Linked DNA regions of Drosophila melanogaster. The protein of the gene in region 1 interacts with the protein of each later gene in a pairwise test. Each region holds a gene or a part of one and is shown in the gene's direction. Other genes may lie near its edges. The genes, in order: Drsl4, CG7407, CG18508 and CG31600.

The links.
Region 2: the proteins of Drsl4 (region 1) and CG7407 interact in a two-hybrid assay, tested with the Drosophila melanogaster proteins (one large-scale study listed by BioGRID).
Region 3: the proteins of Drsl4 (region 1) and CG18508 interact in a two-hybrid assay, tested with the Drosophila melanogaster proteins (one large-scale study listed by BioGRID).
Region 4: the proteins of Drsl4 (region 1) and CG31600 interact in a two-hybrid assay, tested with the Drosophila melanogaster proteins (one large-scale study listed by BioGRID).

Annotation. Positions count from the first base shown.
Region 1 is NT_037436.4:3,314,027-3,316,450, forward strand, and holds Drsl4 (Drosomycin-like 4), read left to right. Parts: upstream 1-1,593; 5' UTR 1,594-1,610; coding exon 1,611-1,826; 3' UTR 1,827-1,916; downstream 1,917-2,424. Other genes in the region: Drsl2 (Drosomycin-like 2), read left to right, coding at 349-561; Drsl3 (Drosomycin-like 3), read left to right, coding at 1,008-1,223.
Region 2 is NT_037436.4:21,821,856-21,825,074, forward strand, and holds CG7407 (uncharacterized protein), read left to right. Parts: upstream 1-1,605; 5' UTR 1,606-1,676; coding exon 1,677-1,808; intron 1,809-1,870; coding exon 1,871-2,245; 3' UTR 2,246-2,716; downstream 2,717-3,219. Other genes in the region: CycH (cyclin H), read left to right, coding at 151-464, 541-742, 802-1,030, 1,086-1,197, 1,256-1,373; eIF2A (eukaryotic translation initiation factor 2A), read left to right, coding at 3,183-3,219.
Region 3 is NC_004354.4:3,171,709-3,174,793, reverse strand, and holds CG18508 (uncharacterized protein), read left to right. Parts: upstream 1-1,653; 5' UTR 1,654-1,749; intron 1,750-1,806; 5' UTR 1,807-1,814; coding exon 1,815-2,114; 3' UTR 2,115-2,526; downstream 2,527-3,085. Other genes in the region: Fcp3C (follicle cell protein 3C), read left to right, coding at 400-451, 516-1,126, 1,199-1,384.
Region 4 is NT_033779.5:21,913,710-21,917,033, reverse strand, and holds CG31600 (uncharacterized protein), read left to right. Parts: upstream 1-1,675; 5' UTR 1,676-1,731; coding exon 1,732-1,776; intron 1,777-1,835; coding exon 1,836-2,018; intron 2,019-2,067; coding exon 2,068-2,232; intron 2,233-2,285; coding exon 2,286-2,594; 3' UTR 2,595-2,765; downstream 2,766-3,324. Other genes in the region: CG11634 (uncharacterized protein), read right to left, coding at 1-629.

The DNA of each region.
Region 1 (2,424 bases):
ATAAAATGCCTCTTTGGAGTCGAAATTTTCGATACAATCAGGGGTCACTGGTACTTCCTGATTCCCTGATTCATTTTATCGATTGCAGCAATGGGCAAGATTGCGAGCTCTGCCTCGAGTTTCTTGGAAGCTTATCGAATTCAGATAGGAGCACATGTGTGACATCAAAGTTGAGGCACCTAGCCACTGAGCAAATGCATCACAAAAGATTTTGAAACGTGCTAAAAAAGATTATTGGAAATGCATGGAGGTGGTGTAGTCCTATATAAGCGTCCCCACAAGCTGTCGATACCAAACGTCTTCGAGAACTCAAGTAAAGTACCAGACTCGTTCGGAACATCAGTTGCAATGGTGCAGATCAAATTCCTTTTCGTCTTCCTGGCTGTGATGACAATTGTTGTCCTGGCCGCCAATATGGCTGATGCCGATTGCCTTTCCGGCAAATACAAGGGTCCCTGCGCCGTCTGGGACAACGAGATGTGCCGACGTATTTGCAAGGAGGAGGGACATATCAGTGGCCACTGCAGTCCCAGCCTGAAGTGCTGGTGCGAAGGATGCTGAATCCATACTATATCCATTTGAAATGTGTATATTGAATATTTCATTCTAAACAAATAATATATAAATATAAAGGCCTCTTACGCTTATCACTCATACGCACTGTTGTCTTTTAATTTCCTGTATGGCAATGTGTTAGGAGAAGTGAATGTTTACATACATCATTAAATCGAAAAGATAGCAATTCTAGGTAAATAACTTATTATGATAACGATGCATTTTTAAATCAATGAAGTTGACACATGGCACACATAAATCAAGTGTTTCTGGAAAACTAGGATTATATCGGTTATTGTTAGCTTGAATTTCCGAGAAGCTTATCGATTGCTACGATCAAATAAAAAATCTTAAAATCTGTATCTCTATATAAGCGTCCCCACGAGTGGTCGATGCCAAAAGTCTTTAAGAACTCAAGTAAAATTCCCGACTCGTTGAAAACATCAGTTGTCATGGTGCAGATGATATTCCTGTTTGCTATCCTTGCTGTAATGACCATTGTCCTAATGGAGGCCAACACTGTTTTGGCACGTGATTGCCTATCTGGAACTTTCGGAGGTCCTTGCTGGGCCTGGAGTGGAGAAAAGTGCCGCCGTCTCTGCATTGAGGAGGGACATGTCAGTGGACACTGCAGTGGCGCAATGAAGTGCTGGTGCGAAGGATGCTAGATCCACTGCAGTTCAAAAGTGCATGCTGTTTTTTTGTTTATTCTGAGCCAATAATAAATATACTGTACACCGCACAGTAAAAGGCACGTAAGCATTGCCTTTCAGGAGTTATCTCTTGATTTGATTTAATATGTATGTGGTAAGTATATTAAACAAAAAGGTGCATCAACATCAAGAAGGTATAGCAATTCTATCATCCCAAAATAGCGATGCGCGTTTTGTCGCGTAAAAGGCCCAAAAGTATGCCTTTCGAAAGTTATATTGCAGTTATTTGCATTTTCACCTTTATGCTAATCGGTTAATATACAAATTCTGTACCTATATAAGAGTGCAGTCGGACTCAAGAAACTCAAAAGTAAAGATTTTAACCAGAAGAACATTCTAATAATGGCTCAAATTAAAGGATTGTTTGCTCTCCTCGCTGTGGTGACCATTGTCCTAATGGTGGCCAACTCGGCTTCGGCCGTGGATTGCCCATCTGGAAGATTCAGTGGTCCTTGCTGGGCCTGGGATGGAGAGCAGTGCCGTCGCCTCTGCAGGGAGGAAGGACGTGTCAGTGGACACTGCAGTGCCAGTCTGAAGTGCTGGTGCGAACAATGCTGAGGATCCTCATCGTCCAATATGTTTGACACATATGTGTGTCATATGTTTTTTATTGTTTTGAAAAGAAAAATAAAGAATATACTTCACAGCAAATAATACAGTTTTATTTCTACTTAAAGAACGAATCCTTTTAAAATCATAAATTTACTTCGAAAATGAGATTTATAATGGAATGGAAGAAATAATTAAATGATAAATAATCAGAGTTAACTTCAATAGAAAGCTAAAATTCATTTAGAAAGAAGTGGAATATATAATTCAACTCATAATAAGCATTTAAGAAAAAAAAAGCATAGACTATTTCAGTCTTAACAAGAGTTGGAAAGGCCATTTTCATTTATGAACACAAATCTTCATTTACCAGCACCCATATCACTTTATGGGAAATAAAGATAATCTTGTCATGTTAATATTTCCAACAAATTATCAACCGTGTTACATCGAAAAGTGCAAGTTTGGTGTTTGAATCCGGTTCTGGGTTTTCCTAACAAACTCGACAGTTTTACAATTTATGAATAAATTTAATTAATGAAACTGGTTTAATTAGTTTCCTAGAAGTCTCGTGATAAATGGCACATTGCATAAAATCAATGTCGGC
Region 2 (3,219 bases), about 19 Mb from region 1:
CTTCTGATTTCCAATGAAATAAAAGTGACTATTGTACGAATCACCCTAATATTTTTTCACAACTGGTATTTTTCTCCGTCCCGCAATCGGTAACACCATGCAGGGTGTCTGAGTTTCGAATCGGCATAAATTCGCCGGCAGCTGAGCAAGATGTATCCTGTGAGCTCGCAAAAGAGGTCCTGGACATTCGCCAATGAGGGCCAGCTCATGGAGTTCCGCGTGGAGCAGAACAGCAAGTACATCGAGTCGCACGAGGAGGAGGCGCAGGGTCGCGACCTCAATGAGCACTTTCTCACGTCGGCGGAGGAGCGCCTGTTGCTGAAGCAGTACGAGATCTACCTGTTCGATTTCTGCCGCCGCTTCGAACCGACGATGCCCAAGTGCGTTGTGGGCACGGCCTTCCACTACTTCAAGCGGTTCTATCTGAACAACTCCCCCATGGACTATCACCCCAAGGAGATTCTGTAGGAACGCTCACCTGAGAGCAGCAAACACCCAGCTGAAAAGCAAAACATTCTAAAAATGTATAAACCTTTTCAGAGCCACATGCGTGTTCGTTGCCTGCAAAGTTGAGGAGTTCAACGTGTCCATCAACCAGTTCGTAAACAACATCAAGGGCGACAGGAACAAGGCCACCGACATAGTGTTGTCCAATGAATTACTGCTGATTGGACAGCTCAACTACTACCTCACCATACACAATCCGTTCAGACCCATCGAGGGTTTCCTGATAGATATAAAAGTGCGATATATATTCACATTTGCTCTCCAGATTGTTTCGTTCATATTGGTTTGTTTCAGACTCGCAGCAATATGCAGAATCCAGATCGTCTGCGGCCACATATTGATAGTTTCATTGATTCCACGTACTACTCGGATGCCTGTCTTCTGCATACGCCTTCGCAAATTGCATTGGCTGCCGTCCTCCACGCGGCCAGCAGAGAGCAAGAGAATCTCGATAGCTATGTGACGGATCTTCTGTTTGTCTCCGCCAGGGAGAAGCTACCCGGACTCATAGATGCCGTGCGAAGTAAGTTTGTGCTGTGAGATGGTGCGCCCAGCCCTACATGCCTTTTTCCCGACAGAAATTCGCATAATGGTGAAGCAATATCAGCAGCCCGATCGGGAGAAGGTCAAGGCCATCGAGAAAAAGTTGGACAAGTGCCGAAATCAAGCCAATAATCCTGATAGCGAACTGTAAGACGCCCTAATTTGTTCATGCATTCCGAATTTAATAACCCTTATACTTTAAAAGCTATAAGGAGCGCCTACGCCGATTGTACACCGATGAGGATGACATGCCCGCCGAAGATGCCTCATTCCACATTGCAGATGTGAGCTCGGACACATCTGCTATGAACATCAGCCAATAGACTTAAGAATATTTATTTAAATGATGTGATGATCTACTACTGCGTGGATTTCATCGATATTAAAGCATTTTGTAATTTACCATTTCTTGATTGTTAAAATGTATGCGTTTAGTGTTAGTTTACTAAACAAAGTTGGATTAGGTACTTCACTTTTCCAATATATAAAATATTAAAAAAAAAACCTTTTGAAAATCCGCTTAGCGCTGCTTGGCAATATTTCGTTCGCAGCTAACGGCCACACTGCGCCCCAAGAAAAACAAGAATAGTGAACTCAGTCACAACAAATAGCAAAAAGAGTTCGAAATGCAGGATTTTCTGCCTTCGCTGGATGTTCTCTTTCTTGGACTACCAGGCCACTACTCGGTAGCGCTGGTCACCCTTCTGCTGTGCGTTTTGGTCGCCTTCTACTTCGCCAACATCTTCAAGGACAAAGGCGTGGGTGTTTTTGCCGGAAGAAGTAGACGTCTCCTGGAATATTTCCTTACATTATCTTGCAGGAACTGGAGGACGAGGGCCTGGGGGCCGACGAGCCGCGCGATGAGGAGGATTCCGAGTCACGGACTCCGCAAGGGGAGGAAACCGACGATGACGAGGCCTACGAAGAGAACTCCACCGAAAGCGAAGTTGAGCTAATCGAGGAACAGCTGCCCGAGCACAGCTACAACCACCTGATGGGCCAGCTCAAGGCCAAGAGGCTCCAGCATAAGATGGAGAAGACCCTGACTCCCAGCCAAATCGAGGAGGAGCGCCGAATAGAGCGCGAGCAGCTGGCGGCCATCTTTGAGCTCCTGCGCAAACAGGAGGCGGAATTGAACCTCCAGGACCGAATAAGCGACCAGGATCTCAAGCAGCAGGTGCGGCTCTATCGCTGAAGTGGCGCCGAGCCTGGGCTCACCCTACCTGAATGTACAGACTTGTGTGATCTATTAGTTTAATGTTTAAAATTCCAAGATTTGGTGTTGCCTCATACGGTCCACTAAGTGCGGGCAAGTCTTTAGTCAGAGAGCTATCTCATCAGTCGATGATGTCGGAATATAATATCTTAGTTGTATGTAAATTATATGTATTCCACTTCGATCTATGTATTTTGTGAGTTCCTGGTGTTATTAATATCTGATTTAGATTTGTAGTAAATGGCTGTTCGGCTCTTAGTCTCTTAAATCAGCTTTCGAATTAAGAATATATGTATATATTTTAACGTGTTACAAGATAAAAACTCGCGATCAGAAAGTGTATAGATTTAAACACAATTAATCGCCAAATTCGTTGGTTAGATTTAAATTGTGTTCATATAACTTTGGATTTATTTGTTCAATAAAGAATGTTTAGCTGTGTTAAGATGTAATATATACTCTAAATATTTCCTACCGTTTCCTAGCCAAATATCCGAAAATAACCGCTCATATTTTATATGCCGCGATTGGATTTTTGAAAATAATTGTTCTAACATATAGATTCCATCAGCACACCTTCGATTGGAGCAGTCGAAATGCTTAGCGTTTCTGTTCCAAATTTTTTAGTACTAAAATGTTTTTAAATTCACGTGGAGCAGATATTTTGTTGGAGTTCTAAATACGTTCGGTTTGGTTTGGTTGATGTTTAAACGTGTCGTTGTGGCGCCAATGCCCATGCATGTTTACTATCGCTTATCGATACACCGCGTACACGGCAACCGTGTGTGACCAATTCAAGCACGAAATCGTTGACCAACACTGATTGTACATCAGACGACACGACAACAAAAACAACAGCAACAACACCACCGACGTGCTTGTTCCTGTGTGTGTGTGCGTGTGAGATTGGAAGACAATGGCTGCAGCTGCGGATCTGGTTGTTCCTACCCTTG
Region 3 (3,085 bases), on another chromosome or scaffold:
CTTGTATAATTTGGATAATAATTGCTGTTTAATCGGCCGTTTATTTATGTTATCCATTATGTTATTATAATCATAACAGTTTCATTGCAGTTTGGCGGGATATTTAAAAAGATTTTGGAAAGTAGTTTAGAACGGTAAGGTAAACTTTGTGCAGCTCAAGACACAACTTTTGGGTTTATTGATTACGCATAATTTTCGGAAGTAATTCTTTTTCTTTCTTCTCACTTTCCTCCAAATGAATGAATTCCACTCGCTTTGTGTGAAAATTCTGCTTAATCAGACTTAACCCTGACACAATTTTGCCGGTTCTCACAACTTGAACTTCGTTGGGGGCCGACTAAAATGGAAGACCGAAATCTTGAAAAACTGCAAGCCAAGTAAGAAAATGGCTTATATAAAATGGATGGCGCAAAGGCAGAAGTATTCAGTGTTTCCGTAGATACCAAGATGGGTAAGCTTTGAAAGTAATATTAGCTAAAGAACACATTTCATATCGTATATATTTCATATATCAGGCGCCTTTAAAAATTCCCTGCTGCTGCTGACACTTCTGCTAGCCATCCATTTGGAGGCATCCAAGATAGTCTACAAGAAGCCGCTCTATGGCAATAGCAACATCATCAAGGACAAGCGTATAAAGACGAAGCCCGTCAAACTGGAAACCAGCACCATGAGCAGCACTGGTGTTGCAAGTAGCAGCACAACAGCCGAAGAGGATTGGCCCACGGCCGTTGAGTTTGTGATTATGACAACGCCCGCAAGCGAATTGGAAGCCAGCACGGAAACCATTGGTAACAATGGCACCACCGAAACGACCGTTGGCGAGGCACCCATCATCGGATCGTCGGAAGGATCCACACGATCGATGGAGCCAACCACCGCGAGTCCGCTGATGAGCACAAACCCATCGAGCAGCAGCAGTCTGGTTAGCACCATTCCCTTGCCACCGACAGCGGGACTGCCTGTGCAGGATAATCAGCCAGTGCCGTGCACATGCGGCGTCTTCCTCTCCTCGCAAATCCCAAATGGCTTGCCGACAAAGCCACTTATCCACCAGGAATTGGATCATATGTTTCCCTGCAATGCCATCGGTCGCAAGCAGTGTCAAACCAAATGCCTAGAGACGGTGAGTACTGGGGAAACGAGGAGGAAAAGATGAGGAGAAGCGCTCTATAACTCACCATTTCGTCCATTTTAGATCGTACAACATCTGCCGAATTCCGCAAATATAGTATGCTCCGCACTGGGTCACGATTGTCACAAGGAACGGGCCTATTTGTTCATCAAGAACTGTCACAATCAATGGGTTAATACCAATCTGCAGGCGGGCAGGGAGTACTGTTGTCGCTCTGGCGTTCCCTACCGTTGCCCATTGATGGGTTAAGCACTGTGCAAATGAAATAAATATATGATATGACAAAATTTCAACTGTATTGTAAATGCGCATGGTGTTAAAAAATCTAAAAAAAAAAGCAAAAAAAAAGCTAAGGTGTGCACATAAGGGTTAATAGATTTCAAACGGTTTGGTTCGAGTCCGGACTATATTAGTCCAACCGGTTGCGTTCTTTGCTAGAGAGTACGTATTTTTTTTTTTTAAGATAACAGTATATGCGTGGCGTTTTTAGGCTCAATACCAAACACAAGTGAACTGGCTACACTGACATTTTTGACAATAAATAAATAGTTGAATTAAGGAAATCAAAGCGAGAAATACTTTTTTTCCGGAGCCAGTAAGCTAACATTAAATAGGTACGTTCCGCAATTGTTGTAATCACTTGCAACGCCAATAACTAACCATTTTTAAAGCCCGAACAATGGTTTGCGTGCCCTGTATTATCATTCCACTGCTTCTGTACATTTGGCACAAATTTGTGCAGCCGATCCTGTTGCGCTACTGGAATCCCTGGGAGAAGAAGGACGACGATGGCAATGTGATCAAAAAGGGACCCGACTTCCCATTCGAGTGCAAGGGCGGCGTTTGCCCCTTCGTTCCGGGCGGCAAGAAGACGGAGAACGTCAGTGATGACGATGCCGAGGAATCTGAAAATCCGCCATTGAATGCAACAGCAATGGCAGCGGAAACGGAAGTGGACGAGTCCAAGAAGGAGATCTAGTCGAAATGTTCCAAATATTGTAATTTAACACATAGTACATTTTTTTTTTTTTGTTATGTTTTGACATAAGAGCGGAAAACACAACGCACACAACACAAGGACACAAATCCAACGTGGTGGGCGGCGATCGTTTGGTAAAGGAGGGGGAGGGGGCGTGGCCCTTGAAGAGCGGCAAGAACGTCTAAAGTATAATTAACTTGCAATTAAATGTACACTTTGACACGCGAAAAAACTGCTCTTTTCCTGCGGGTTTGTGTGTGTGTGTGTCAAGAGTTAAAGGTTAAAGGTTAACTCCACGCAGTTCCAATATGAAATATGGTATTTAAACTTTGTTCCAGCTGCAACAACGCAGAGCTGAAAAATTCGCCTTTATATGTTGTATATGTATATAATTAATGAAATAAACACACGGCTTTTAAAATAATTATTTAATATTTATTATTTATGTCAAAAAGTTTGCAGTTTCGTTTTGCTGTCTGGCTGTTTAAGTTAGGAAAACAAATAATTTTACAATTTACACATTAAAAACTTACACACAAAATATAGACGAAAGAAAGCAATACCGTTCAAATTAAAATTAATGCAAATCGAACGAGAAAATTCGTATTTTGCAGTTTTCTCTAAGTGTGTGCGTTTTTTTTCTTTCTGTTGCATATTTTTTGAAAATATCTTTTCATCAACTTAGATCGTAGATCGTCGAGTGTCCTTATATATATAGTAAACTTGGCTGGTTACTGTCTTTTTCGTGGTTTTTTCCTTTTTTTTCTTCTTTTCTTTCTTTCTTTCAATTAGACTTATACGTTTCCATTGGTGATTTTTGTGTAATTTTTTTTGCAAATCCTTTTGTATTTTGTATGTGTCAACTTAAATCAAACAGTTATGAGAATCTTTTTACAGTTTAGCTTAGTCAATATGTAATAATACATAATAGTCATAATAATAATAATAATAATAAAAAAAAAAAACTTGGT
Region 4 (3,324 bases), on another chromosome or scaffold:
TTCCAAATGGAGACGGATGCGAAGGCCAACGATTCGCACTGACTTATGGCAATGGCCTCCTGGTTATTGCGGAATGTGTGAAATGTTACTACTCCAGTTGGGTAACTTCCCAGCTTATCGTGCGTACAGTCACACACAAAAATGGGTGAAGCCATTGGTGGGGCAACCTCCGAAATGCAGGCCCTTATTATGTTAAAGTTGGAGGTGTGGCATTTCTCCAGTGCTGCCAGATAGCTAGGATGTTCGGCCACAAACTTACTAAGAGGATGTAGCTTAGACAGGATTCGCTCGACGATCTCCCCGCGAATTTTCTCTTCAACCAGAACCATGGCCACCGCATTCGAGGCAAAGGGATTATGAACCGACTCAATAATAAAGTGCAGTGCACTGTTGATGTCGCCTTCTTCAAATATAATCATCAATTGGGGAGATGAAGTGACATCGTGTCCTATATGCCGGTCAGCTTCCGATGTCATTTCGATGACACTGTGATCAGGTGATCTTCCCTCCGGGTTATGGACCATATCGTAGGTGACGACATGATCCAGTGACAAGGACTCATTGTGCTCCGACTGGGACGGATGCTCGGAATCAACTGAACGCGGAAAGTATTTAGTTGTATCGAACATGGCTTATCAAAAACTTCACTGTAATGTAAAAAATTTGTTTTTATATATTTTGAGATTTATTTGAATGGCAAACGCGATTGGATATGATTAAATGAAACATTTCTGACACATTTTCATATTTCAATTATTTTGTTATTTTTTTTAATCTACCAGGAATTCTAATATCACTTGAGTACTAAGTACTAAACCGCTCAATGCGGCGCACTCTGAGTCCTAACCATCGGCATTTATCAAAAGCAATATAGTTTTACTGGCCCCTTCCATCCATTGCCACATCGAGGGAATTCAAAAGAGCACCCATAACCCACGGTGCCCCTTATTTGTTAATCGCTTAATTTATGATCAAATGCGACAGTAAAATTAAAATATCACAAACAGATACAAAACACCAAAGTATTTAGCCATCGTCCAAATAGAATGCCAGAAATGCATTGGATTTGTTGAAATTAGCATTAATAATTATAAATATTTTGCCAAAATATTACAATTTTTATTGTGCATTTCGAACTACACCCTTTTTGACTTACAACAAAGAGCATACGATTATGAAATAACAGAACAGAGCCAACAGCGACAATTAAAATATTTAAAGCCACAGAAATATTTTTTCGCATGGCCCATTGGCGAACTGAAAACCCACAACAAAAAGTGCGTAGTAAATTTCCTAACGAGTTGAGGGACATCCATGTGGACATCAAGTGCAGCAACAATACAGCCATATACGGAATGATAATTTTGCTAACGATGACCATTTACATATATCAAGAGTAATTATAATAAAATGCCGAAAATAAAATTAAAATTAATATAGAAAGCCGATTATAAAATCATGTTTATACCTACAAACAGTTATCGCACACACTCTCATTCGTTGTAGCAAAAACAACTGTCAAAAATAGCAAATCCCATAAATCAACAATGAAATTTTGCCAGAAAAAAGGAATTGAAACACAAATAGAAAAACCTGCGTGATTTCGTATACATACATAATTGGGAAAACAAAAATTTGAATTTATGTGGTAGGCCATTATTTCCAGCTTCGAATATTTTGTCAATTTGCGTAGAATAAAATTGAGCTACGTATATTAAAATAATTCTCAAAATGGTAGAGGGCATGATAAAAAAGCTAACTGCTATTTTATTTGGGGTAAGTATTTAATCAGCAGCCCGTCTTCAAGTTTTTACTGACAACTTTTCTACACTTAGCTTGTATTGGCTGTGTTATTTCGAGTAATTATACCCTTTACTCTGCGACTTAAAAGCGCTGAAATAACCATTAATGTGCTTAACTGTTTTAATTTTCTAACAAGTACCGTTTCCATTACCATTTGCCTGAATTTGGTCAGCCTATACTTAGCCAATTTGCGTGATGATTGGCTTGTTCTCGGGGTAAGGACTTTACCAAAAAAAAAACGTGAGGTTGATAATTGTAAATTAGCTTATACCGCTGCAGATACTCGTCCTTCATTGGACTTACTTCACAATTTCAAAACAACTAGAAGCCATGAACAGGAGCTATAGTACATTCATGGATAGCTTAAACCTTAAATGGCTGGCATACTCCAATTTTAACGAGACAGATTGGCCTTCGATTGAAAATGCGGTATGTGTTATGCCTTTGCTCATTTGCCCTTTCAAGGGTTTTGCTTTTCACAGGTTTTATGCTGTGGACTGGAGGGTCCCCGTTCTTATATGGATTATCTACAAGGGGTTCCAACCCACTGCTACCATCCCGACCTTATCACCCAAGGTTGCAGTGACTTTGTTAAAAACATTTTTATGCCGATACAACATATAAGTCATTTGCAGCTCAGATTGGCTATTTTTGTGGAACTGGTAATTTTACTTATTCTTGCTGCAACGCTTTTGAAGAAATGTATTTCTTTGATCGGCGAAAGGAAACATAAAAGAGTTATTACACACGGGCTTGCGGTACTAATAGATTTAGTTAAAAACACATTTTGAAACATTAGCCTTATTAACCCTAACCAAATACTACTACTCTATACACTACCATGTAACCATTCTTGAGTACTAAATGCAGTTTCTTGTAATGTTTGTATTGTTTTAATCTATGCCACTGTATTGCATACAATATGTAGATGACAAATCGAAATGGAACAAAGAAATAAATTGAAATAAGCTGTCTTTTATTGCCGATGACAATTTGAATAAAATTAATATACAGTTTATCCTATTTTTAATTAATAAATGTCAAACATTTTGCGAGTATTGAGTATGAGTATTTAATTGTCTGATTTGTAATTTGGTTTTTTCCTGTTGTCTTTTTGTCATGGAAAATTGGTTTTGTTATAATTCGTTCGATGAGTACGAAAAAAGTTTCAAATGGCGAATGGAGTGGTAATAGGGTAGCGGAAACACACTTTGGTCTTGTGCAGCGGAAACGGAAGTGAGTATTAGAAGGCAAAATAAACTTTCGGAATGGAAAAACAATTCACATTAAGCAAAACGTACACATTTTTGACAATTCCATACCGTTATTATTGGTCTGAAAATGTACCGGTTTGCTTTTCCAAATTATAATTTATTGTCTTTTTTGGTTTAAAAATGTATATAGATAATATCAGGAAATCAATTGTGGAAAATGCATGAACGAAGGCGTGACCTAAGGTAGATGTATGAACAGTGCTTTCTATTAATTTAAAACAAATTGAATTTTCTTTATTATTTAATA